Astyanax mexicanus: one gene and its partner. The protein of the gene in region 2 purifies or fractionates together with the protein of the main gene of each other region. This does not show direct contact. Links are inferred from orthologs where the notes say so. Each region holds a gene or a part of one and is shown on either strand. Other genes may lie near its edges.

What was found.
Region 1: the proteins of metal transporter CNNM3 (region 2) and ptp4a1 purify together in Homo sapiens (affinity purification with mass spectrometry; 6 studies listed by BioGRID and IntAct, with this or other methods). This does not show direct contact. The link is inferred for Astyanax mexicanus from reciprocal best matches to the Homo sapiens genes CNNM3 and PTP4A1.

The regions. Positions count from the first base shown.
Region 1 is NC_064423.1:12,464,093-12,477,351, forward strand, and holds the start of ptp4a1 (protein tyrosine phosphatase type IVA 1), read right to left. Parts: upstream 6,150-13,259; 5' UTR 5,977-6,149; intron 3,064-5,976; 5' UTR 2,594-3,063; coding exon 2,489-2,593; intron 2,171-2,488; coding exon 2,078-2,170; intron 1,992-2,077; coding exon 1,861-1,991; intron 1,233-1,860; coding exon 1,158-1,232; intron 932-1,157; coding exon 814-931; 3' UTR 1-813. Other genes in the region: lgsn (lengsin), read left to right, coding at 8,351-8,380, 8,549-9,179, 9,282-9,451, 10,453-11,637; myom2a (myomesin-2), read right to left, coding at 12,325-12,831. UniProt on the Homo sapiens protein: Protein tyrosine phosphatase which stimulates progression from G1 into S phase during mitosis. May play a role in the development and maintenance of differentiating epithelial tissues.
Region 2 is NC_064427.1:526,056-538,342, forward strand, and holds the start of metal transporter CNNM3, read left to right. Parts: upstream 1-5,967; 5' UTR 5,968-6,258; coding exon 6,259-7,807; intron 7,808-8,669; coding exon 8,670-8,813; intron 8,814-9,080; coding exon 9,081-9,239; intron 9,240-10,158; coding exon 10,159-10,328; intron 10,329-11,165; coding exon 11,166-11,262; intron 11,263-11,858; coding exon 11,859-11,989; intron 11,990-12,287. UniProt on the Homo sapiens protein: Probable metal transporter.

The DNA of each region.
Region 1 (13,259 bases), on a different chromosome or scaffold from region 2:
CCGACCCACTGATAGTATAAATAGCCAATCTAATAGTACACATTTCAATAACCGTACAGAAATCAAGTATCCCAAGTATTAAGTTACGCACATCAAATAAAAAGGCATACAAAATATCGCAGAGGTCCAGTTTGAAGCAAAAACACAAACATCACACTATTGACATGGCAGTAATTAGTAAACAAAGTTTGGATAAACAACACAAACTAGATACTGCACCTTCCATATACATTTCTTCCCTCCCCAGTTATTCTGTGTAATACATTATATATCATATATTGTAATACATTATAATACATGATATATATTTATTTTTTACTCATAATTTTCCTGTCCAGCTGTTTCACTTCTCCAAAGGCCATAGATTTGCACCCATTAAGTGGCCTCTTTCCGTTGTAATAAGGCATTTAAATACGACCCATTGGAAGGCAGGTATCAATATGGACTTAGGCTCATCCAAAACAAAAATGATAAATCATAACTTCTTTTGATATTTAATGAATGTAAAAACATTTTTGTTTGGCAGAGAGCATTCCTGTGACAATTTGCCAAAAAAGAGAAAGAAACAAACAAAAGAGACGCAACATATCAGCGTCCCTCTTTCAGTTTCTAACAAACAAACACAAGCACTCTAAACTTGCCAAATAGTGGCCACAATGTAAAAACAAGACAAAAGGGGAAACAAATACAAATTCATTTCTTTCGCAGCTTTTTTTCTTCTTCACATGTTAACTAATTAAAAGAGCAAACGGCCAACATTAGAGAAACATCTGGCTAGATAACGCTACTCCAGCAGGGTTACTGTGCAAAGCTCTACTGGATACAGCAGTTGTTGCGATGGCCATTCGAGTCTTTGAATCGAAGACGCATCTTTGGACGATACTTCTCCAAGTAGAAGAGCTGCTTGCTGTTAAAAGCTCCACGACGCTTCCTGGGAAAGTTAAAAAAAAAAAAAAAAAAATACACACTGTCTTAATCTCCAAAAGATAAACTACTGCACTACTGTGGTAAAGGCTAAATCATTTAGTTATACAGCAGATAAATTGACAGATTCCAAACAATAAATCATGAAAAATATGAGGTGCTTTGCAGGCTGTTAATAAGTTTTTAATAAAAAACAATTATTTGCTTTAGGTGGTAAAAATATAATCACTTACTGGCGAATAAACTGAACAGCGTCTTCGTACTTCATTCCACACTCAATCAAAGCAAGAGCAACCAGGACCGGGGCTCTAAGAAAAGAAAAACACACAGAGCACATAAAAGATTTGTCAAACAAAACTTGTTACTGTCCCTGCACTGAAGATATGGCAACAAAACCACCAACTGCCTTATCTATAAATACAGAAAATAAACTGTCCAAGGCCAAAACGGTTAGCTGTGTTCTTGTTACAGCCTTGAAATTTCAATGCAGATACGAAAATAAAAACAATACAAATACATAAAAAATACATTAACAAAAAAACTGATCCATACGTCAATATAAAAAAAAAATGGTAAAAGATTCAAGACCTATATACTCCTATAAAACAAAAGAAAATCTAAATACAAAATCTGCCAGTAAGGTAAGCAATTTTCTTTTACATTGTTTTCCCTACATACATTTTCTTCAGCCTTAAGGTAAGACTTGAATCAAGTACAAATGTTTTATGTCTTAAATTTGGACACAAGAATCAGAGTAAACTGACTGGTGACTTTTTGCTCTTGTTTTGATCTTAAACTACACGGAGAAGGGAACAAACATAGATTTATTGATTCGAAATGAGATCATTTAACTTGTGAAGATTTCGTTTTTTGCAGTTACAATAAAAAAGCCACTTCTTTTTTTTTTACAAGAAAGAAACTCTTGAGAAACCTCACCTTCCAAGGCCAGCTACACAGTGGACTGCAACACAGCAGCCTGGCTCCTCCCTGAACTTAATCCTCAACAGATTTAGCCAGTCATCAACAATCTGGTTAGAAGGAGGAGCTCCATCATCAAATGGCCAATCCTGCAAGTTTTGAGAGATATTTTAGTCTGTGCACTTTAAGATGGTTATGTTTTTATGTAAAACTTTCTTCACATTATGTAACTCACCAGAACCTGAATGCCCTCTTTGGCCACCAGGTTGGCATCATAAGTTGCTTCACACACTCTGACGACTGTTGTCACACCATACTTCTTCAGTTCCTGTTAAAGAAAAAATCCGGTTAATCATTTCAGAAAAAAAAAGGAATTTTCTAATGGATTCTCTGTTTTTAGAGATTATAGATTATATTTTCCTACACTATTCCTAAAAAGGGTAATAAGTTTAACAGTATTTCAACTAAAAAAAGATTTGGGAGATATTCCCTCTAATCCCCAAGGCTACATAACACTCATGTCTATGGGTTGAATTTAAGAGAAACCAAAACCTTAGCCTATGTCTAAACTTTTAATTTTTAACACAGTTGTATATGAAGTATATAGAGTATATAAAGTCAAGTTGCACAATATATAAATGCTCACCTCAATGAATTTATTCAGAGTGGCATTGGTGGGGTTGTGAGTGATGAGGAACCTCATGTTTTTATAGGTGATCTCCACCGGGGCAGGTCTATTCATACGAGCCATTGTTGAATGGAAAAAATAATTCAAAATGTACTAAAACTTCACTGACCCAAAAAATTAATTTCTGCCACAGAGAGTCAGAAAGAAAATGTGAGGATGGCGTAAACAACAAATTCTGGGATGGCGTAAACAACAAATTCTGGGAATGAAAAAAGGGGGGAAAGAATTTTACATAAAAAATAAATAAATAAAAAAAAAGGCTGGTCCTCAGGTGAGCGAGGAGACGGAGGGCCAACGAGGGCAGTGCACTTCTGCAGATTTTTTACCCCATCCAGACCGATCTGGCTGCTGTGGACGCCCGCTCTCCGTGTCCGATCCCGCCAACCTTAAAACACTCACACAAGTCTCTCTTCCAGTGAGGTAGCAGGGCTCGCCGTTCACTTGTCTGCATATACGCCGTGCTGAGCCTGGCAGTAGTCTCCACTGCCCTTCAGAAACTCCATAAATGTGTGACCCAATACACCACAGAACTGCTGTAAAGACAAAACAGAAAGATGGAGGGTCAGAGAAAAGCAGGTAAACAATAGGGCTGCAATAATTAGTTAACATAATCCACAATGTTGATCATATAAAATTGCTAGTGGGAGACGGGAATTTGCCGCACTCACAAAGTTTACACTCAACTTGGTCTGTCTCTCCAAAAGTGCCCAAACACAACAGAAAACATATTTACTTACTAAATATCAGTACTTTACACATTTAAAGTAGAGATTCACAATGATATCGGAATTATAACGGTATAAAACAGTAGTTGCTGTTTGATAAGCGATAAAAGAAAAGGACCAAGCGACACTGACCGCACTTATATGAATGGCAGCTACTATCTGTGCTACTTTAATTCATAAGAGCCGAGACCCATTTCTAAATATTGATACCAAAATCTAATTCAGAGAGCAGCTCATGTTTTTTTCTTACTGTGAAAAAATGACTGTAAATATTTGAGGGTTATAGTCTATATAGATGTAACAAGTGAATATAATTTCATAATCTGGATTTTAACGTTTTGTTCTAGAAATCATGCCACAACCAATTATATGGAATGGAATGCAATGTACATTTAGTTAAATCGTTGATTGGAAAAGAGCTGTAGAAAAATATAATTTTTAAAGAAGATACTTTTATCTCACGTATCTTACGTACATCCTGCTAATAAGGTCAAATAAATGAACAAACATTCATATACTGTCCTTTGACAAAGTCAGGTCATACAGTATGTCACTTGAGGACTTCATGATTTAAAGTCAAGGACAAAGGAACAAACTTTTCACAACTTTTAAAGTTATGTCACCATAGGCACTTTTGCGTTAAAGGTAATTTTTTATTATTTTTATTAGATTATTTAAATTTATTGTTAAAAAATATTGTTTAAAGCTGTGATTGGTTAATGTAAGATGTTAGCTGAATAAACATTTAATGGCAAAATATATATACACACACACATATATATATATTATATTTATAACTTACACATTTATAGACTACACACCCTGGTTCAGAAATTCAGAAACAAATGTAACATTTGCTTTATATTTTACCTCTCAAGGAACTGTATGCAAACAATAAAATGAGCGGTGTCTCCTGAGATATATATATATATATATATATATATATATATATATATATATATATATATATACACACACACACACACATATACATATATATATATATATATATATATATATATATATATATATATATATATATATAAAATCTAATCTATCTAATCTAAAAAAATTATAATCATGTTAGTTGCCTACTGAAATAATCAGTAGTTGCAGCCATAGATAATAAGTACAGTGGTAGTAGCACAGGTACATCATTATGCTGGTATCCCTGCTGATGCCCATCACAGAGACTCTGCAGTGGAGCAGAGCTTTATTTTATACTCATAAAACAATGTAACACAACCCAAGGTTGATTTATTTACATTTAAAGAGAGAAGGTTAACCCTACTGACTGAAACTTGACTGATTTTATTTGGATTTTACTTTCCTTATTATTTATAAGGAGATGCTGGGCTAGCTGAAGAGTTTCTGTATTTCACTAAACTAACTAGCTTATGGGCAGAGACAATAAACTAGCTTATTAACCTACCTGTGAGCTAAGATACCTAACTACTAGATTAGCTAACGTTAATTGAATTAGACAGAGACCAGAGCTCAGTTTAGCTAAGCTTCCCCACAAAGAAAGCGGCGCACACATATAGAAGCCGTGAAAAGAATGTGCTAGCCTAGCCAACCAGGTGTTCTGTCGAGTTGTGCTCCTCGTCAAATCGTGCTTCCCCAGTGTGTTTTAAAGGTAAAATTGGCAACGAAAAAAGAAGCACGCTCCCAACAGACATCTTGATAACATATTTAAGGACTTTGATGAGTTAGAATCGTGGATAGAGTGCTGTACGCAACTTTCCACATTTTTTCACATCTTTTAAATGGTCTGTGACACGTAACTACATCACCATAAGCTTTTTTGTTGGCTCGTAAGAAAAATTTAAGGCGCATGCGCAGTACTGTTAAGACGCACATATTGATGTGTAACACAATTCAACATAACACCGGCTGTGCAACTACGACCCACCTAACGCTAGCTAAATATGTTATATATGCGGCAAATGGCTAGGCTAAGTTAGAATGATATGCTAGTTAGCTTTAGCTTGAAATAGCTAGCTAGCTAACAACCTGTCGGGCCTCCTGCTGTTGTTATCCTAGTTAGCTAGCTAACGTTAACTAATCTTCTTAAAATACTTTATTTAGTATTTTATAAGAAATCTTTATTTATTAATATTTATTTTCGATTTTTTGTAAACCAGAATAAATTAATGGTATCCACAGAATAACGACGAAACCCGTCGTTTTAAGGTTAGCTAACGCTAGCTAGCTAACTTGCTTGCTGGCTAAAGCACAAAGCTCGCTTGACTGTTAAGTTAACTGTTAAATTAATTAAACTACAATTCCATGGTTTTAAAAAAGAACATATAGACTCATTAACTAATAAAAATTAGGTCACTGTGATTTAGAAGGACGTATCCAGCTATAATCCAGGTTAAAACAGATTATGAAGGACTAATGTCTATTTTAAAGATGGGAATTTTAATCCAGAAAGTACCACACGTAAAAATCCGCACCGGGATTTTGTTCCAACCGTCAGGGCGGCTCTGCTGCAGAACAGCTGCAGCATTGCCGCACTGGCGGCTGTAACAAAATCCAGGACTGGATTAATAAACTTTAGGATCCAGACTACCCGCCTCTACATCCAGCGCTACCAGGCTAAAACAATGACCTCGATTCGACAACAATCTCGCCAAACCCCATAAAGACAATCTTAAAACAGAGCCACGCGCGTATAAAACAAAAGCCCCGCTTTAAATATGAGATTTGTGTACTTACTGGAATATGTTTACTCATTGAAGATTGTAGTTTAACCATAAAGCCGGTCCCGAGAAAGCGGTGAAATCTCTGAATTGTTTTTTACCATACAGCCGCAGCGCGCGCCCTGTCTCATCCGCGACTCCGTCTCTGCCTCAACCGGTTCCAGCCTGCCTGCCTGGCGCGCGCTCGCTCGCTCGCTCGCTCTCCACACAGTAACCGCGCCCTGGATCATCAGCAGGAGGAGGAGGGGGGACGGGTCTCTCAGAACCGGGTCAGCCCGCCGCTGCTGTTGTTCTCTCCCTCCCCGCGCGGTGATGCCATATCAGACCAGGTCGGTGTAACGTTTAGCAGTTTAATTTTCTGACTGTATCAAAGCTAAATTTCAAATGAAGAAGAAATGGGTTTTGGTCAGTGTAACTTTAATTAATTACATTTTCTGACTGTTTGAGGTTAAATTCAAAAATAGAACACTGGATGTAAAAACTTATGATTTCCTTTTTTAAAGTAGTGCAATGTACAAGAAATAAGTTTTCTTCCTTTTTATTTTTTTATCTTGCATTTTGCAAGTTGGATTATACCATCAGATTTGTGTAACGAGATACAAAAATGGACAAATAAAAAAAAGAGAGAACATTCAACTCTTCAGTTTTCTTTAAATTCTGTTTGTGAAAGGCTGAAATTAAATACTCGACAATTAAAAAAATTATGAAAACACATTTGTTCTTCATTTCAAATTTAGCTTGATACAGTCAAAAATTAAACTACAAAACGTTACACTGACTGGTTTTCATCCAGTTTTTTAATTATCAAGTTTTTCATTTCAGCCTTTCGCAAACAAAAATGAAAAGTTGAATGATCTCTCAATTTTCAGATTTGTCCACTTTTTTGTTTGTTTTTTTTGCCGCTGTAATTTTTAAACGTAGCTAAAAAAAACACACCCCGCCACCCCTGAATTTTCACCCACAACCGGATTTTCAAACAAGCCCAATTTGGAGGGAAAACCGTGAACTCTGCAGACATCTCAAGTTGCGAAAATAAATTTCAGGGAGATACCCCCGGACTTAGCTTAAAAATCGCTATTACAAACTGTACAGTGGGCAAGACTTTCATTGTTTTTTACTTTTACCAGACATGGATATACTTTAGAGTAGTCAGAGGTGAAATGAGTTTAGATGGGAGCCATGATGCTCCTTCTTTTACTCACTAAGTGCATCCCGTCCAGAAGGGGAAAGAAACACAGCCCACTCACAATAAATATTAATGGGCTGACTCACAGACTCTTTGTAGAGAACAGGCCAGTCAGAACCCTCTCTGTTTTGCATGCACTTTATGAATATGTAGATGAGGGCAGCACCTTACTCTCCTGCTCTCTTTCTTTCCCACACTCGAGTCTATGGCAGGGCACGATTTCTGCAAAGCAACGGATGCAACACTCCTGTGAACAGTTCTGCATTACGTTCATTGGTTACACAAGTCTCCTGAAGACTGCCTGTGTACCGTGTATTCCTGCATGCGTTTACACAAACCTTTAATGGCTAATTCTGAATGAGACTGACACTGGTAAGAATAGAGCTGGTGAGATCTCTTTATGTGAGAGTAATTTGGCGCCAAAAACTTTATGAACATGTTTTGTACTGCCCATAGACCTATTATAACTTAATATATAATATTAATATATAATATAATAATATTTCCCCTTCAAACTTTGAGCATATGAGCATTCAGCATTTAAACTTTGGGTGAGTAATGGTTTAAAGCAGATGAAGTGTTTAAGGAAGGCATATTTATGTTTTTTTAAGCAATAAGGGTGAGAGCATGACATGCCTCGATCACTCTTCATGGTTTTGCTAGATGGAATTTTGCCTCTTTTCATCACTCCCACATAAAATATAGTGATTTATTAAATTAAAGTCTCTGAAAATATTTTTTTTACACATAAGCTGCATTTACAATATGGGAATATTATGCATATGAAGCCTGTATTATAGATAATGGAGAATATTTGTGGTGAATATTGTTTTTTTCTTCTCTTTGTTTTAAAAAACATCTTTCTAGAAATTGGTCGGGCTGTGTTTAGAGGTCTGTGTAAAAAAGCTGATCTCAGCATAGTTTTCAATGGTGCTATCCTGTACAATAGACCAGTGAACAGCCTGGGCCGCTCTCAGCATCAGCCAATCAGAGGAGGAGTGTGTTTCAGTCACAGGTTGTTAGTTGTGTAAACCATTTTACTGTGGGTGCACTGGGAGGAACTGGGGGTGGGGGGGCAGAGGGAATGTTCCAAATGGTCAGCATTGTACCGGCGGCCTATAAATGATGTGCTTGGCCATAGCTCTTGTTTCAACTTGGAGCTCACAAAATCTGAAACCACCGGCTCAAAGAAACTGGAGACACGATGCAAAAATCAGATGGACCGAAAGAGAAAGTACAGTCTTCAGATTTCTCTACAAAAATATCAAATGTATAACATATATATTTTGAGTGTTTGTAATCCATTATGTATAAAAAAGGGGAATGTCATCTTGGTGCGACTCTCAGAATTGGATTTGCTCGTTTATAACTATGAATATTTTTTGTTTATGTTTATATATAGGAAATGGCATCTACAGATTCAGACCAAGTGGACGGAGGGAACATGAGCCACAGCAGTAAGAAGGGGGTAAAGGTTAGCGGTAAACATGTAGCTTCTTCAGACTGGGACAGAAGGGGGACTCCTGTGCCCATCGTCCAGACAAATTTTTACACTCCAAGTCCTGCTGAAAACCCCACAGTCATTTCTATTGGCCCACACTGTCAGCCCACTGTCACCAGCGAGCCCCAGAACCAGGATTTCACCAGTAATGATGACTGGGGTGGAGAAGACCTCCGGGGACATCCACCCTTCACAGAACAAGGTGTATCTAGACAGACAGTGGAAGAACTGAAGAATATATTACGTGAGAGCTCCATGCTGAGGGACGACGGCCGCCCGGTCAGTCCCCACAGCCACACGCCTGGACAGAGGGTGGACTGCAGACCAGACGACATACCATCCAAGTCCTTTACAACCTTCAAACCAATTCTTGCAGGGAGCAGAAGAGCCTCGAGACCAAGAGATGGTGCTTCTTCTGGCTGGGATTCTAGTGGGTCATCCAGGACCGACGGTCATACAAGCAGGACAACTGGTTACAGGACACCCTCCAGTGATAGAGCCCACTCCTCCGACACGTGGTCATCACAGACAGGTGAGTGTGCCTCTACTGTTCCTCTACTGATGGAGAAATCTGAAAGATTTTGGTGTCCCTCTTATTTATTTTTAATGATGTTTATTTTTATGCGTTCTACAGATAACAGGGACAGTTCTCATACAGAATCTCACGGATCTCAGAATTTCCTTTACGAGCTTGATCTGATTAAGCAGCAGATTTCTCGAGAGAATGTTGGCTTTGTTCGCTTTGAAGCAACAGATCTTCACGGTGTGTCCAGATCCAAGATGGTCCCCGCTCGCTACTTTCATGTAAATATCTCCTGCTTAATTGCTAAATGTAGGGTGACTGAATCAAATGTGCATTAATGAAAGAAACTTATGCTTAGATTTATTTTTGAAATATTTATGATATACAGTGCTATGAGTATTTGCTACGTTAACGTCAGTGTTAATGATTCAATAATAAAAAAGAGAGACTGCAAAAATGGTATCCGTGGAAAAGTTCCAAGGCAAAAACCACTGCTGACCAAAAAAAAAAACATGAAGGCCCATCTCAAATCTTGATGATCCCCAGGACTTATACTGTGAATTTTCGACAAAAAAGTGGAACTTCTTGGAAGGTATTTCCCCTGTTACATCTGGTGTAAAATTATCACATAATTTAGGGAAAAGATCTTTATAATGAAGGTCAAACATGGTGGTGGTAGCATGATGGTCTAGGGCTTCTTTGCTGCTACACAACCTGGATTTGCTGTAATTGAACCATATTTTCTGCTCTTTACCAAAAGTTCAGTCATACCTGCAAGTCCACCTCTAAATGGCTCAAAAAACCTAAGTGAAGGTTTTGGTTGTCAAAGTCTGATTGAGAAGCTGTGGCAGGATCTTAAACAGGCCTTTCTTGCGCAAAACCCCCCAATGTGGCTGAATGAAAACAATTCTGCAAAGAAGAGTGGGCTAAAAAGACTTATTGCCAGTTATTTAAAACGCTTGATTACAGTTGTTTCAGCCAAGGGTGGCTCAACCAATTTATTAGGTTTTGGGGCAAATCATTTTCCACACAGGGCCAGGTTGGTTAAATAGAATTGAATAGAATTCTTCGTAAATTCAATTATCATTTAAAAACTGCTTTTTATATATACTCAGGTTATCTTTGTCTAATAATAAATGTATTTGTTAATCTGAAAAATATAAGTATGATAAAAATCTAAAAAGAAATCTGTAGGGTGCAAATAATTTTTCACAGCACTGTAAATAACTTCACAACTTTAGGATGCTTTTGCATGTTGATAATTCTGTTATTTGTATTACAGGAAAAAGCTGTGTATGGTGTACCCATGCCCAGAAGCTACCTGGAACTGACACTGAGCCCAAAAGACAACGAGGTCGATCATCCATCTGCTGCCAATTTCAGCAGTGACGTTCTTCTGGTGCCTGATCTCTCCACCTTCCGGGTCCTTCCCTGGTCTGAACAGACCGCTCGTGTAATTTGCGATCCCTGCACCGTTACAGGCGTTCCACTGCGCACCTCTCCTCGCCTTATCGCTAAACTAATGCTCGGTCAGCTTCAGAGCATGGGGTTCTCCCTCCATTCCTCCTTCACCTACGAGTGCTGCATATTAGGAGCGCCGGAGCGACTCGGACCCAAGGTTGTGTTCTTTCCCGCTACCACTCTGTTGAGCAATCATGATCTGCCCTTTCTACAGCAGCTGGTGAGAGCCATGTACCACATGGGCGCTGATGTGGACAACTTTGCATCTGCCAGCGGACCGGGACAGATGGAGATCTGCTTCAAGCCGAAGTTTGGAATCGAAGCGGCCGACAGTGCTTTCACATTCCGAACTGGAATCAAAGAGATGGCCAGGAAGCATAACTACATCGTCACATTCCTCACCGACGAGACTCTCAACAACTTGGGACAGCTGTCCCACAGCTTATGGGACGCCAATGGAAGGAAAAGTCTTTTCCACTCGAGCACTGGGGAGCTGTCCGACATTGGCAAGAAATGGCTTGGTGGGCTTCTTCACCACTCGCCAGCATTGAGTTGCCTACTGGCACCGGGGATCGGCTGCCGCAGTCAGCTCTCTAAAGGCAGAGACTCTAAACACCCGTTGTACGCCACATGCGGCTGCAACGACAACAGCTGTTCCTTTAACGTGAAGATCCATGGTGGGCGGGAAATGCACATCGATAACAGGCTTGGCTCAGCTATGGCAAACCCATACATAGTTCTGGCTGCCACAATAGCAGCTGGACTGGATGGCATAAAGCGTAACCTCAGCATAGAACAGGGTCTCAACCGAGCTCCAAACCAACAGAAACAGGTTGTGATCCCAGTTAAACTGGAGGATGCTTTAGAAGCCCTTGCAGAAGATGCTGTGATCCGTGGGTCACTTGGTGAGCCTTTTATTCAGTACTTCATCGCCATGAAGCGCCTTGAGATTGAGACACAGGAGCTTGATACAGACAGAAACAAAGGCTTGGAATATTTCATCTAGATAAAAATATAATCTGATGAATGTTTAGATTCACAGACTGAGATCTTTTCACGTAGAGAAGAGCAAGAATAACAGGCACTCGTTTTTTTTTATCCCAACAATAATATTTGAAGATACATTAAGTAACAAGCTCTGTTTAAGAGAAATAAAAGCTTGTGATGATTTAAATGGAAAATCTGTGTTTTGTGCATTGTTATGTTGTTGAGAAAAATCTAAAATCTGTAAAAAGACACAAAAAGACAATCAAAATCCAGCCGAGAGAAGCTGAACAAGTTTTTATTTGGCAACACGAAGCAACATGAAAAGACAGGACAGGATAAGACGGCTAATGATGCCACTTGTAAAGATAATGTCTGTTTTAGTAAACAGCACCTGTTAGTTTCAACTTCATAACCTTTATATTTTTTAGCTTTTAGCGAGTAACATATAAGAACACAAACGAGCGAGATACGCTGGCCATTTGTCTTGTGGGTCAAGACCAGGTTTTTAGTTCTAAGCTCACCAAAGGATCTACTGTACTTAAAAACCCATTAAGCATGTATATAAATATACATGCAAAAACGCATAACTGCAAATGTCAGTGGGTTAATAAGTAAGAGATCATTTGTTTGATAAACTAATGTAAATATATATTTGCAGTATATATCAGTGAAACGTGAAACAACATGGGCAGCAAAAGCATTGTGTTTATTTCTTAGTTGGGGTTGGGGACCTCATGAATCTGGGTGGGGTGGGGGACTTGGCACTCCTGGGTGGGGTTGGGGATTTTGGAGCTGGGGTCGGAGCCTTTACGGATGGAGGTGGAGTAGGGGTTGGAGACTTAACAGAGGGGGGTGGAGTGGGAGTGGCGGGCTTCATGGATGGTGCAGGAGTTTGGGGTTTGGAGGGTGGTGCAGGTGACTTGGGTGCTGCGGCTGATCTAGACATCTGTCCCAGTTTGGGTTCGGGAATCTCCTCGCCCTGCTTGTAGACGCTGACGGTGATCTCTACAAACTCTCCGCCATATTTGTTCCGCACGTTGATGCTGTACTTGCCAGAGTCTTCCACAGTGACTGAATTGATGGTCAGGCTGGAAAACTTGCCACTCTCGAAGGTGATCTTGTTGTGTGCATCGGACACGACTTCCTGCTCGTTCTTGAACCAGGTGACTTCAGGCTGGGGGTCACCCCACACTGTACAGGTCAAACTGAGGGTCTGTAAAAATTACAGGTGTTAAGGTTAAAAACCTGATTAAAGGATGTGCCTTTTAAAATTACAGATAGAATGTCAACCAATAAGAATGCAGAAGTAAATTATAGAGTTCTGTTCAACTAGTCCAACCTGCAGCACATCACTCTAAAAGTATCCAGTGAGAGGACAGCGGCACTATCCAGTAAGACTGGGCAATAATTATGTTTTGCACTATAAGGTGCATTTAAAATCCTTTAATTTTCCCCAAAAATCGACAATGCAGCATTTAATCCAGTATGCCTTGTATAAATTGTATAAATTGTACCAGTCAGGTTGTAAGGAACAGTTAAGCCACTCTGCTGAAGTACAGCGTTATACAGGAGTTTCACTAGCACTAAGCAGCATTAGCCACAAGCCACAGTGCTAGCTCATCTTCCTTTCAGAGGTGAGTA
Region 2 (12,287 bases):
CTAATCCGCCATTCTTTGTGCTGATTGGCTGTTTTTATTGATGGGCGAGACTTCTTCCATAAATCTAGTCTTCTCTAGACAGGTGTCCCATCACTTTTGGCCGTATAGTGTACGCAGTGAGGGCGCTGGGAACATGGTGCCCCATTGGGCACAATCAATATTTGTTATATAGAAAGAGATTGAGAGAGTTTTTATGTGATTCGTCTTTTTCGTAGAGTTTATCGTAGTTATACCGATATCGTAGCGTGTATATATATATATTTATATATAAATATATTGCGCGGTATATTGGTGCATTGGCTGGAGTTCGGACGCAGCTGTAATACGAGCCGAGGCTCTTGGGTTTATCGCGCTACAGTTCGGGATCTGTATGTTAGCGGTACCTGATAAAATGAGGGACATTCTCTTCGACGATGTTGTTGTTGTTGTTTTATTATTATGCAAATAGCTTTAAGAACAGGAAGTGGTTTGACGTAGTTTAAATAATAGACGGTACTTTTAGAGATTTTTATTATTCAGAATATTCACAATATTCAGTGACTTTCAGCCTTCGAGCAGAGGAGATCCAACCCCAGAACATAGACACTAGGTAGATCATATACTATATAAAAATATAAATATATATGCAATAGAAATAAATTATATAAATATATAAATATTTATCCATATTTATTTTTTATTGTTGCCTAAATTAAATTCAGTTCAGATGCATATGTATGTATGTTTGGTATGTTTGGTATGTTTTTTGTTTTTGTTTTTGTTTTTTGTTTATTTAAGGCCTCCTCCACACGTATCCACACGGATTTAAAAAAAATTAATGTTAAAAAATTTTAAAGCTTTTGTCTGTGTTTTGGCCTCTAGTTCACACAAAAATAGCTAATTTATTGGCTTTTTAAAACCGATGCATTTTTAAACACTTTTAAACACTGTTTTCATGAAGTTGCTTTATTAAAAGAGCTAACATCACAAAACATACACATTTATTATGGCTGAATCCCAAAAATCTCCTCACTCCCTATATAGTGAACTAAATAAGTAATAAAACTACAGTGTCTACACACAGAAATACACTAGATTCCAGATTTACATATATTAATAAATGAAAATACTGTTTTAGAACACTTAGAATCTGTAACTACCTGATTTGCTATTACTATTAGCGCCCCCTCAAGGCCTGGCATGCTAATGCAATCGCTTTTCTTTCATTGGAGCAAAATCATTTTAAAAGATATTCGGATACGTGTGGACACGGCCTCGTCAGATATAAGAGGCTACGATTGGCCGAAATTGGTCCAGTAAGAGATGTGGTAACCAGCCACAGTCCTTTCCAGCATATAACTGCATCAGTAGCACATCTGTAATCATAGTTTTACCATGTTATTGTCAGTTATAAAGACGTTTGTGAGATTTTTGGTCATTATTAGTGAAATGGGACGATTAGAGTCGATTTATTCTTCTGCGTGGAGTCAACTCAGAGTTTACGACATCGCCCGCGCAAGTAGCTTTACGCTGTTTTAAGTGTTTAGGTGTGTTGGACCAATCACAGTGGCTGTGTCTTGATTTGATGCAGAAGAATAACTTGGCGTTCAGAACTAAGAAAACATTCCAGACCTGTGATCCAGCCGTAGCTTTACTGGTGCCGAGACAGAATCCACTGTGAACTGAATTCAGCCTGTAGCGTTCTTCCCCAACACCAGATCAGAAGCTGGAGATGCTCATCAATTACAGTAAAGCTTCAATTTCCCTTTTTATTGCACTAGAACACAGTAGTGTGTGTGTGTGTGTGTGTGTAGCTTTAGCTTAGTTAAACACCATGACCCCATTAGTTTCTCTTTCGTTCCCACAGCAGACGGTGCTTCTCCTCCACTGCATGATACTATAACACTGCATGACCCGACTCAACTCAATTCAGCTTCTTTACTTTCCGTTCGGATGCTTTTACACTTTATTTATTCCTTTTAGACTTTTTTTTTACTCTGGTCCAAACCAAAGTAGCAGGTGTGAAAGGTTCCGTAAACCAAAGAACCAACAAAAGAACCTATATTTCATGTGAACAAAGTAGAGTGAAATAAGGGTTGAGTTCAGTCAAACTAGTGTGGAATCAGAGTCAGTCTGTGTTAAATTCGAGTCGCGAAAAGTCAAATAATAGTACAATTTAATCAAACTAAATTTGAGTCGACTCAAATAAAAGTCAAATATAAGTCAAGTTAAATCAAACAAAAGTCAAGTTTAAGTCTAATAAAGTCAAAAATTAGTTGAGTTAAATAAAATAAGTCAAATTGGAGTTTAGTTGAATCACATAGGAATCGAGGTCAATCAAACAAAAGTCAAGTTTGAGTCTAGTAAAGTGAAATCAAATTAGAGTTGAGTTAATTTAAATTAAAAAAGTCAAATTGAATCAAATAAAAGTGAAATAAGAGTAGAGTTGAATAGTTGAGTACAGTGCAATAAGAGTGAAATAAGACTCTAAGTTAGAGTTAAGTTGAGTAGTGTAGGTATCATGCAGTGGCAAAGCACCTTTATCCTGTTAATCAAATCAATATTCAGTATTGATTATTTAGGATCGTCTACATGCTGTAGTTCTGAGTAATAATAATAAATTCCCCAGTTTATACTCTGTACGCTAGTTTTCTCCAGCGATGTGTGCGAGTTAAACACCATGATCAGCTAAGAATCGCTCTAATGAACAGTGAGCGACGTTTTATTTTATGTTGACCATTTTCCGTTTGTTTGTGTTGTTGGTCAGTGTAACGGTGGACAGCAGTCCAGTCTTTATATAGTTTATATACCAGTTATTTATAAATATTATGTTGCCTTTATGAGAGGTTTAAAAGAGAAGCAATAGTTACGATAGTTATTATTATTATTATTATTATTATTATTATTATTATTATTATTATTATTATTATTATTATTACAGGGGTTAATTAACAATGTTGTACAAGGAAAGGACCGGGTTCAGATGTTACCTCAGTTGAGTTTGCATGTGTTCAAGAATTTACTTTCAGGTTTGAACCAGTCAAAAGTTTGGGCACACCTCCCCTTCTCATTCAATGTTTATTTTCTGTATTGTAGATTAATACTGAAGACATAATAACAATGAATTATGTAGTAAACAGTAAACAAACAGATTATAACAAACCATCCTCCTAGCAACACCTTAGCAACCAAAGCTATACAATAGCAACACTTTAGCTACCACTTAGTAGTAATGCCTTACCAACTGACTGCCAAGCAACAACACAGTAATCAACACTTATACCATAGCAACACCTTAGCAAACACCAAGCAACCAACATCAACACTACAGCAACAGTTTAGCAATCATTGCCAGAGAAACACCTCAGCAACCCCGTAGCAAAAAAATATCAATACAATATACTATAGCAATATCTTAGCAACCACCTAGCAACAATTTAGCAACCAATACCATAGCAAAACCTTAGCAAATTCATATAAAAATATGAAGGTGCTTTCCGTACTCTTTTTATTTCATAATTAACAGGTTTGATCATTTATAGTTAGTTCCGATGTTTTTAATATTAATCTATGATGTGGAAAATAAAAAAATCATAATAAAGAAAAGTCATTGTTGATTGGTGGGGTTGTGAAGGGGGTGTGTCCAGATTTTGAGTGATGGGTGGGAAGGGGGGGTTTGTGACCATGCATTTCTGCTCAAACTCAAGACGACCAAAGTTACCGCGCCTCGTATCAGATAGTTCAGAAACACTTCGGCCAAAGCCTTTTGCACTTTGATCTGTATCTCCTCCGTCCTGCGCCGTGACGACGGAGGCTCCGCCCCCTGGCTGGGTTTACGTGGAGGAGGGAGGGGCTCCCGTGGCTCAGAACTAATGAAATTCCTTCGGGCTCGGGGTCCAGTCTGCTAATCTGCTCTAATTCGCACTGCCGCTGTTCCAGAGCCAGGGTTTCACTCCCACACTCACCAGAGAGTTAAGAGTTGAGACTTAAATTGAGTTGAGTTAAGAGTTGAGTTGAGAGTTGAGTTAAGAGTTGAGTTGTAACTCGGAGCAGGACGGTTCTCGGTTTGATGATTAGTGAACAGTGGAGGTTAACGATTATGAATGTGGGAGAATTTTCCTCTGTGCGTAATTGATTTACTCGTTGTTTGTGCTCACGCTCGTTTGCGTGTCGTACATTAGCTCGTAGAAAAGCTCGTAGAAAAGCTAAGGGCTTGTCGTCCACCAAACAGCACATATAGTACAGCCCTCCTGGCCACTGAGGAACCACACTATTGCTAAGGAACACACTTGTCTTCCATGCACTTGCTAAAAAATGAATTTACCACAGCAACCCTTTACGTTTTTTTTTTTTCTTTGACAAAATAAAGATATTTCAGTTATAGTTTTATGGACAATGCTAATGATGATTTATTCATCTGGATACTCTTTTTTTTTTTTTCTTCTTCTTTTTTTTTTCTCCCTGAAACATGTACGTTTTATTTTTTCTGAGGGTTAGATTTGAAGTGGCTTTCTTCTTCTTTAATTTTTTTTTTATCTATGTCTATTACAGAGTTCGATTATTTGATTTATTAATATATGATCTGTGTTTCTCTGTTAAGGGAAGAAGAGTGTAACGAGCAAATGTACTGTACCTCCAGGTATCTTCGGTTGTTCTATTTAAAGCAATGTGTACATAGTGTTTTATAATAAATACTGGAGGAGTTCTGATGAAATATGACAATAAATCTGAGAGATCTATTTCTCTATAAAAAAAAATACAGTTCTCAGTGTATTTATTGTGTATGTATTAGATCTTGTTTAAAGCTACAAAAGTTTTTAATAAGGAAACCAGCCAATAAAAGCTTTCATTAACCAACAGCTACTGTATGACAACACCTTATCAACCACATAGCAATACCTTGCAAACAATGTAATAACATAGTAACCACCTGGCAATATCTTAACAACCAACATCCATACCAAAGCAACCAACAGGCATACCATGGCAACACCTTAGCAAGCAACCTGTCACCATATCAGAGAGAGAGAATTTTCAAAACTGTGATATTTGGAAAAGATAAAGTATTGGGACAAAATAGAGAACTAGTATTTCTGACTAATAAAAAGTCCAGCCTCATATAAAAATTAATTCAGACTAATACTAATGATAATTGAACGTATTGATAATGATTTTTTCCCCGACAAAATTAAAAAGCATTATAGATGTAAGACAAGGGTCTCCAAACTTTTCAATAGGGGCCACCTTGGGAATGGTGAACAAGTGATTCTTATATTAAACATTAAATTCCATTTTAGTCCAATAACCAACACAAGAAAATCTATCAGCAATCACTAAATGCTTTCCTGTAGATAAATTCCAGTCAGAGAAACTAATGGCTATTTGTTTTTGCTTCCATAACACTGTTGCAACCGATCACTGTACATAAAACTTAAACATAATTGTGAGCCATTAATAATGTATTTTAGAGTGATGCAGAGGTTAAAATACCAGTAGTCTGCAGTGGTCGGGTGAAATATTTTACAATGTGATGGTTGAGGTTAAATGTACGAACAGTGTTGCTGGATTAAGTTAGGTTACACAACTCATTCTGTTCCTGCAGTTCTGCACTTTATTCATTATTACTCTGTCACATACTGGACTATCTCTGCACTTCCACACACACAGATATCAGCGCATCTATATAGCATTGTATTGTTTTATATCCAGTAACATTAAAATATATATCTACAGTACAATACCATATATCAATATGACTTTGGTGTGTATTGTGTGTATACTGTGTATTATATTATTTTATTATTCTACTCTATGTTGTAAATATTTTCATTTGCACACTAGTGACAATAAAAATATATATTGAATTTTGAATATACAGTGTTTATATTTCACTCTGACCTGACTCGACACGCTCAAACGGGGCGGGGTTTTCTTGTGTCGTTCCTTTTTCCAATTGGTGGCTAACAATGCTGTAATCTGATTGGTCGGGTGAAGCATTCGACGTAGATCCGCCCGAGAAGCGGAGAGTTGAGGAGCCCCGGTTGTTGTTGTTGGGGTTGCGGAGAGCGGGCCGCCGCCGTACCGGGGGTTAGGAGTCCCCGAGCCGCTGGAGGAGGAATCGGTGTATTATTATCGTGTTTTTCCCCGCCCCGTGTTTCGCCATGGCTCCGCCGGTGAGGACGTTTCTGCCGCTGTTTTCCGCGGCGGTAGGAGGGTGACGGTAGGCGGGCGGGGGTCACATGATCGGCGGGGCGGAGAGGCGAGCTGCCCGAATCCAATATGGTGGTCGTGCGGCGGTCGCTGCTCCCGCTGCTGCTGCTTCTCCTGATCCCGCTGCTGCTGGGGGGCAGCGCCCAGAGGCTGGTGGGTCTGCGGCTGGAGGAGGTGCTGGAGGTGCAGCAGGGGGGGCAGCTGCAGGAGGAGGCCGGCAGGCGGGTGTACATGCGCGGGCGAGTTCTGTTCGCTGCTCCGGGGTCTGGATTCAGGCTGAGGCTGTTTGGATCTGAGCTGCTGTTTCTGGTTAAAAATAATAATGTTATTAATAATAATAGTAATAACAATGCAAGCTGGCCGTGGCTCGCGTTCGCTCGGGAGGCGGGAGTGGAGAACTTCAACTCCCAACCTGGACCACCTCCTCCTCCTGCTGCTCCTGCTGCTGCTGGTGCCTCTGGTTCTGATGGTCCTAGTTCCAGTCCCGGTCCAGTAAAGGAACAGGAGGAGGACCCATGCAGGCAGGAGATCCTGAGGAACTCTTCTATATTCCGTGTGGAGGGGGAGTTCTCCGCGGATGAAGACAGCAGCGGTGTGCTGGAGGTCCGCACCGCGGAGGGGGACGCCTCCAGCGCGGGCGCTCTGCACCGGCTGTGTGTGCTGAGCGGGCCGGGTTGGGAGTCGCTGGGGGCGGATAGATTCCAGCTGAAGGCGCCGGAGCCAGAGCTAAAGCCTGAGCCAAAGCTACCCCCAGACTGGATCCCTACCTGGGCTTTATCGGTAATTATAGCAGCCTTGGTGTTTATTTGTGCTCTGATTCGCAGTTTAAGCCTCAGTCTGCTCTGTCTCGACCCCCTCGAGCTCTACGTGCTCCACAGCTGCGGCGCGGAGGACGAGAGGCGGGCGGCCAAGCGCCTGGAGCCGCTCCGGAGACGCGGTAACTTCCTGGTGTGCTCGCTGCTCCTCCTGACCGCGCTGGGTCACTCCGCGCTCGGCGTGCTCCTCTACCGGGCCTTCGGCTCCATCCTGCCCGCGGTCTTCACGTGTGGAGCCCTGCTGTTCCTCCTGGCCGAGCTGCTCCCGCACATCATCAGCTCGGGCTACGGCTTCCACCTCGCCCCCGGTCTGATCTGGCTGGGTCAGGTGTGCCTGGCGCTCACCTGCCCGCTCACCTGTCCGCTCGGCGTGCTCCTGGACGTGGCGCTGCGGCGCGACGTCAGCACGTGCGGCGTGCGCGAGAAGGTGATGGAGATGGTCCGCTCCAACGTCAACGACCCGTACAGCGAGTTCGTGAAGGAGGAGTTCCGGCGCGGCGCGCTGAGGAGCAAGACCGTGGAGGACATCCTGACCCCGCTGAAGGACTGCTTCATGCTGCCCTCCACCGCCCAGCTGGACTTCGGAACCATGTCCGAGATCATGCAGAGCGGATACACGCGCGTGCCCGTCTACGAGGAGGAGCGCTCCAACATCGTGGAGATCCTGTACGTGAAGGACCTGGCCCTGGTGGACCCGGAGGACTGCACCCCCATGACCACCATCACCAAGTTCTACAACCACCCGCTGCACTTCGTCTTCAACGACACCAAGCTGGACGCCATGCTGGAGGAGTTCAAGAAAGGTGAGGCGGTGGGACCAACCACAGGTGTGCAGAAGTGTTTGGATACCTGGGGTTGTGTGGTGTTGCATTCAGTAAAGATTACTGAGGTAGTTTGAGATGTTGGAGATTTTGATGATGACCAGACAAAACAAAACAAAACATGGCAAGATAACACAACACAAATGTAATAAATACACTGCCTGTCCAAAAATAAGTAAATAATCTGGACCTGATGCTGCAGTTTGTCTGCAGGTTTAGGTTCAGCAAAGGAATATACTGAATATAGACCAGGTTCTTCTTCCATCAATGGAAACCATCAGGTTCTTCCATTAATTTTTCTTCATATTCCAAGATGAATAATATCAGGATTGATGGTGCTGGAATTGTGAAAGAGTTCAGGGTTCAGGGAGCATGAGATCATCATTTTCACACATGGATTGAGAGAGAGTTCACCACAGAGTCCAGATCTTAACCTCATTGAGAATCTTTGGGATGTGCTGGATGGAGAAGAGCTGCTTTGTGCAGTGGTCAGACTGCACAGATAAAAAAATTAATGCAAAACTGGATTGAAATAAATAAATCTTGTGACGTTGCAGAAGCTTATTGAAACAATGCTACAGTGAATGCAAAGTCACACAATCAAAGATAAAGATGGTTCAGCTAAATATTAGAATTTTTTTTGTTGTTGGAAACTTTTTCTTTGGCCAGGCAGTGTATCGTACTTGTGTTGGGCGGAAATCACTTCATGCATAGAAACACACACTCACACACACAAAAATAGTTGAATATTGCATTTATTAGCAGGAGTGTCCACAAACATTTGACATAAATAATGAAAAAAAACACTGTTGGCTGTAATTTAGTTTTATTTCTTTTTTTCTAGGAAACTCTCACCTGGCTATAGTGCAGAGGGTGAATAATGAGGGGGAGGGAGACCCGTTCTACGAGGTTCTGGGACTGATTACTCTGGAGGACGTTATAGAGGAGATCATAAAGTCTGAGATCCTGGATGAGTCTGATGGCTACAGTAAGTATAACCTGTACATGTGAAGCTTAGAACAGAGCACATCTACTGCCTGCAAAAATCTGATTTGTGTTGTAAAGCTATGTGGCTGAGCAATATTGAAAAAACAATGATGTATATCCAATGCCGTTGTTGAACTGATAAACTGTACATCTCAGTGTGTAGTCATAAAGCACTGAATAAAGCGTGAGTTTGTTGGGTCAGTGTGTGGTGGTGTGGAGAGATGGTGTGTAGAGTGTTTCTCTGATGGAGTGTCTTCATGTCCTGCAGTGAATATGAAGGTGAAGCGTCCCGCCGCCGCGCTGGAGATTCCTCTGGAGCCTCGCTCGAGTCAGGAGGAGTTCTCGCTCTTTAAACCACCGGAAGGAGAACCCAAGATCCGCACGTCTCCTCAGCTCCTGCTGGCCACACACCGCTTCCTCTCCAGAGGTGTGGAAACACTGAGCTTCAGCTGGAATATTAATTTAATTGAATAGATTAATTGAATTACTTTACATACAGAAGCTGCAGAGTGAATCTTAGTAAATAGACTAGATTTACTTCTGAAAACTTGTAAAGAACTCTCTTACATAACAATGATTTTCATATTTTTACAAATTTCATTATATTTAACTGAAATATGTGGAGGTTATGTGCTGTATTTTTCACACTTTAAGATGCTCTTAATATCTTAGTACAGCGTTATAAGGGTGAGTTTTCAGTGAAGTTTCTCCAGCACTAAGGCTGGAACAGTATTAGCATTAGCCGCTAACCATAGTGCTAGCTCTTTCGCTGTACAGAGATGAGTTTAGTAGACTGTAGTCTGCATGTTTACGCATTGTAGTTTCTCATTGTAGCACTTTTGGGTGGCATTAACTAGCGCTAAGCACTGCGAACCATGGCTAGCGCTGCTGCTAACTGCACTGTTATATATTGGAAATGTAAGCTTGCTGTAAATAAAAGGAAGCACTTTACATACACACATAAATGTTTTTTGCTGAATTAGAAGGGAAGCATGGTTACACCCATGTTCCTTACTAGTGCCACTTGAAATGCACCTTATAATCCAGTGTGTCTTATGTATAAAAAAATAGATCAGAAAACAGATGTTTGTTGATAATGCACATTATAATGCAGTATGGCACGCATAATATGGCACACCATGTTTAGTAATAAGCAGTCTATAAAGAACAGGTTGAGTAATCCTGCAGCTCCTCAGTGTTCTTATCTTTAGCTCTTATCAGTTCAGAATTGCAGTTTAGACTCTTACAGAATACAGAAACACAGATCTGCGTTTCTCCTGCAGTTTATGAGTAATAAAAACACAGTTATGATTATTAATAATCCTGTTTTTTCCTCTCTGTTACAGAGGTGGAGCATTTCAGTCCACAGCGAGTTTCAGAGAAAGTCTTATTTCATCTCCTGCGGCACCCGAGCGTCAACCAGGAGGTGAAGTTTGACCCAAACAACCGTCTGAGTCCAGATCATTACCTCTACACCCGGAACCACCCTGTGGATTACTTCATCCTACTGCTGCAGGTAGACCCGCCATAATTACCCACCTGAGTTATTTTACAGTATAGGAACAAAACGTCAGAATTAGCTTCTGGGGCTGGGTATTGTTTTAAAATTAAATTCAGTACCGATACCCAAATGATACAGGTCTATAGCAGTGTGTGTAATAGTGTGTATAGTAGTGCAGTGTGTTTGGTGTGAAATCATGTAGTTGAAGCAGAAGCAGAGGGGTTTGTTCACTCTGCTGAAATGTTTGAGTTGTTAAACTTGTACCAGCATGTCGTCTCAGGTCGCAGCTCCAGCAGGAGGTTAGCAGGACCTCGGCCTCTGAGGGTTGTTGAGTTACTTTAACAGGATGATGAAACGCCTCAGAGTTCTCAGAAATCTGCTGTTGTTTTCAGTAACTGAAGTTTAGTGCTCAGAGTAAATGTATTTTATACAACCTCTATACAAACTTTATGAATATGAACTTGTTTTCTTTGCATTATTTGAGGTCTGAAAGCTCTGCATCTTTTTTGTTATTTCAGTCATTTCTCATTTTCTGTAAATAAATGCTCTAAATGAGAATATTTTTATTTGGAATTTGGGAGAAATGTTGTCTGTAGTTTATAGAATAAAACAACAATGTTCATTTTACTCAAACATAAATCAAATCAAATTTATTTATTTATTTTGTAAGGTGATAATGATGTATTTTAATGCAGATCTGTTTATCTGCTCTAAACTCAGAGCTGATAATATAGTCCAGTCAAACACATTCCAGATCTTTCCACTGCAGTGTGTGTTCTCTACTGTCTCACGCTGTCTGTGCAATAACACACAATAAAGTGTGTGCGTGTGTGTGTGTGTGTGTGTGTGTAGGGTCGTGTGGAGGTGGAGATTGGTAAAGAAGGTCTGAAGTTTGAGAATGGAGCTTTTACTTATTACGGTGTATCAGCTCTCACAGCTCCCTCCTCAGGTACGTACTCTATACCACTGCCAGGTAAAGAGAATAACTGAATAAAAGCATATTCAATTATTTAGTAAATAAAAAAAGTGTTACAAACCAGAATGTTTTATATTTTACATTATACAGTTAACAGCTGTGCTGAACTCGTCAAGAGATAATAGGTTTGAAGAGGTAGAGTTACAGGTATACAGTGAATAGCTCTATTAGAGTAATGTTTGAGCAAAGACCATTAAAAACATTATAATGGTGAAACTGGCACTCATCAGGACCGTCCCAGTAAAGGTTAAAAGAGTGAGTGTTTCCTCTGTTGTACAGGATAAATTTATCAGAGTTTCCAGCCTCAGAAACCACAAGTTAACAAACAGCTCCTCAGATAAGAGTATCTAAATACTTCACAGAGTATTTTAGTTTGTTTATCACTGTTTTTAAGTTACTACATGATTCATTATGTGTTCCTTCATAATCTCATAGATCACTTTACTATTTTATTTACTGTGTAGGAATACATAATATTAATAGAAACACTGATTGAAAAGGTATAAAGATGTAAGGATGTGCCCACCTGTAGTTGTTTATGTTGGGGAACTGATCTTGTGTTAATACAGTGCATCAGTCCCCAGTGTCCACACAGCGGCGCTCTCCCAGAGACCCCTTTGAGCTGGGAGATGCCACCAGCCCGTCCAGCTACTGTCCTGACTACACAGTCCGAGCCCTCACCGACCTGCAGCTCATCAAGGTACGTATAAACCAGGGGATCCAAACCTCACTGCAGCGCTGCATTGAGGTGTAATAGGAGGAATAGCGGTGCTCTCATGTCTGTGCCGGAGCTCCTCTGAGCTCAAACCAGACTCTGTAAGTTTTCCGGAGGCGGCTGCGACCAACGCTCGCGAGAACTGCAACCTGCTTTCCGACCTTTAGTTCTAAACAGTTCTACAAGAAAAACTGGTTCATTCTTTATAAACTAACATACAGACACTCTGGCAGAAGCCGAATACGTCTGTGAAAGACAGAAAACGAGAAAGAGAAACTAATCC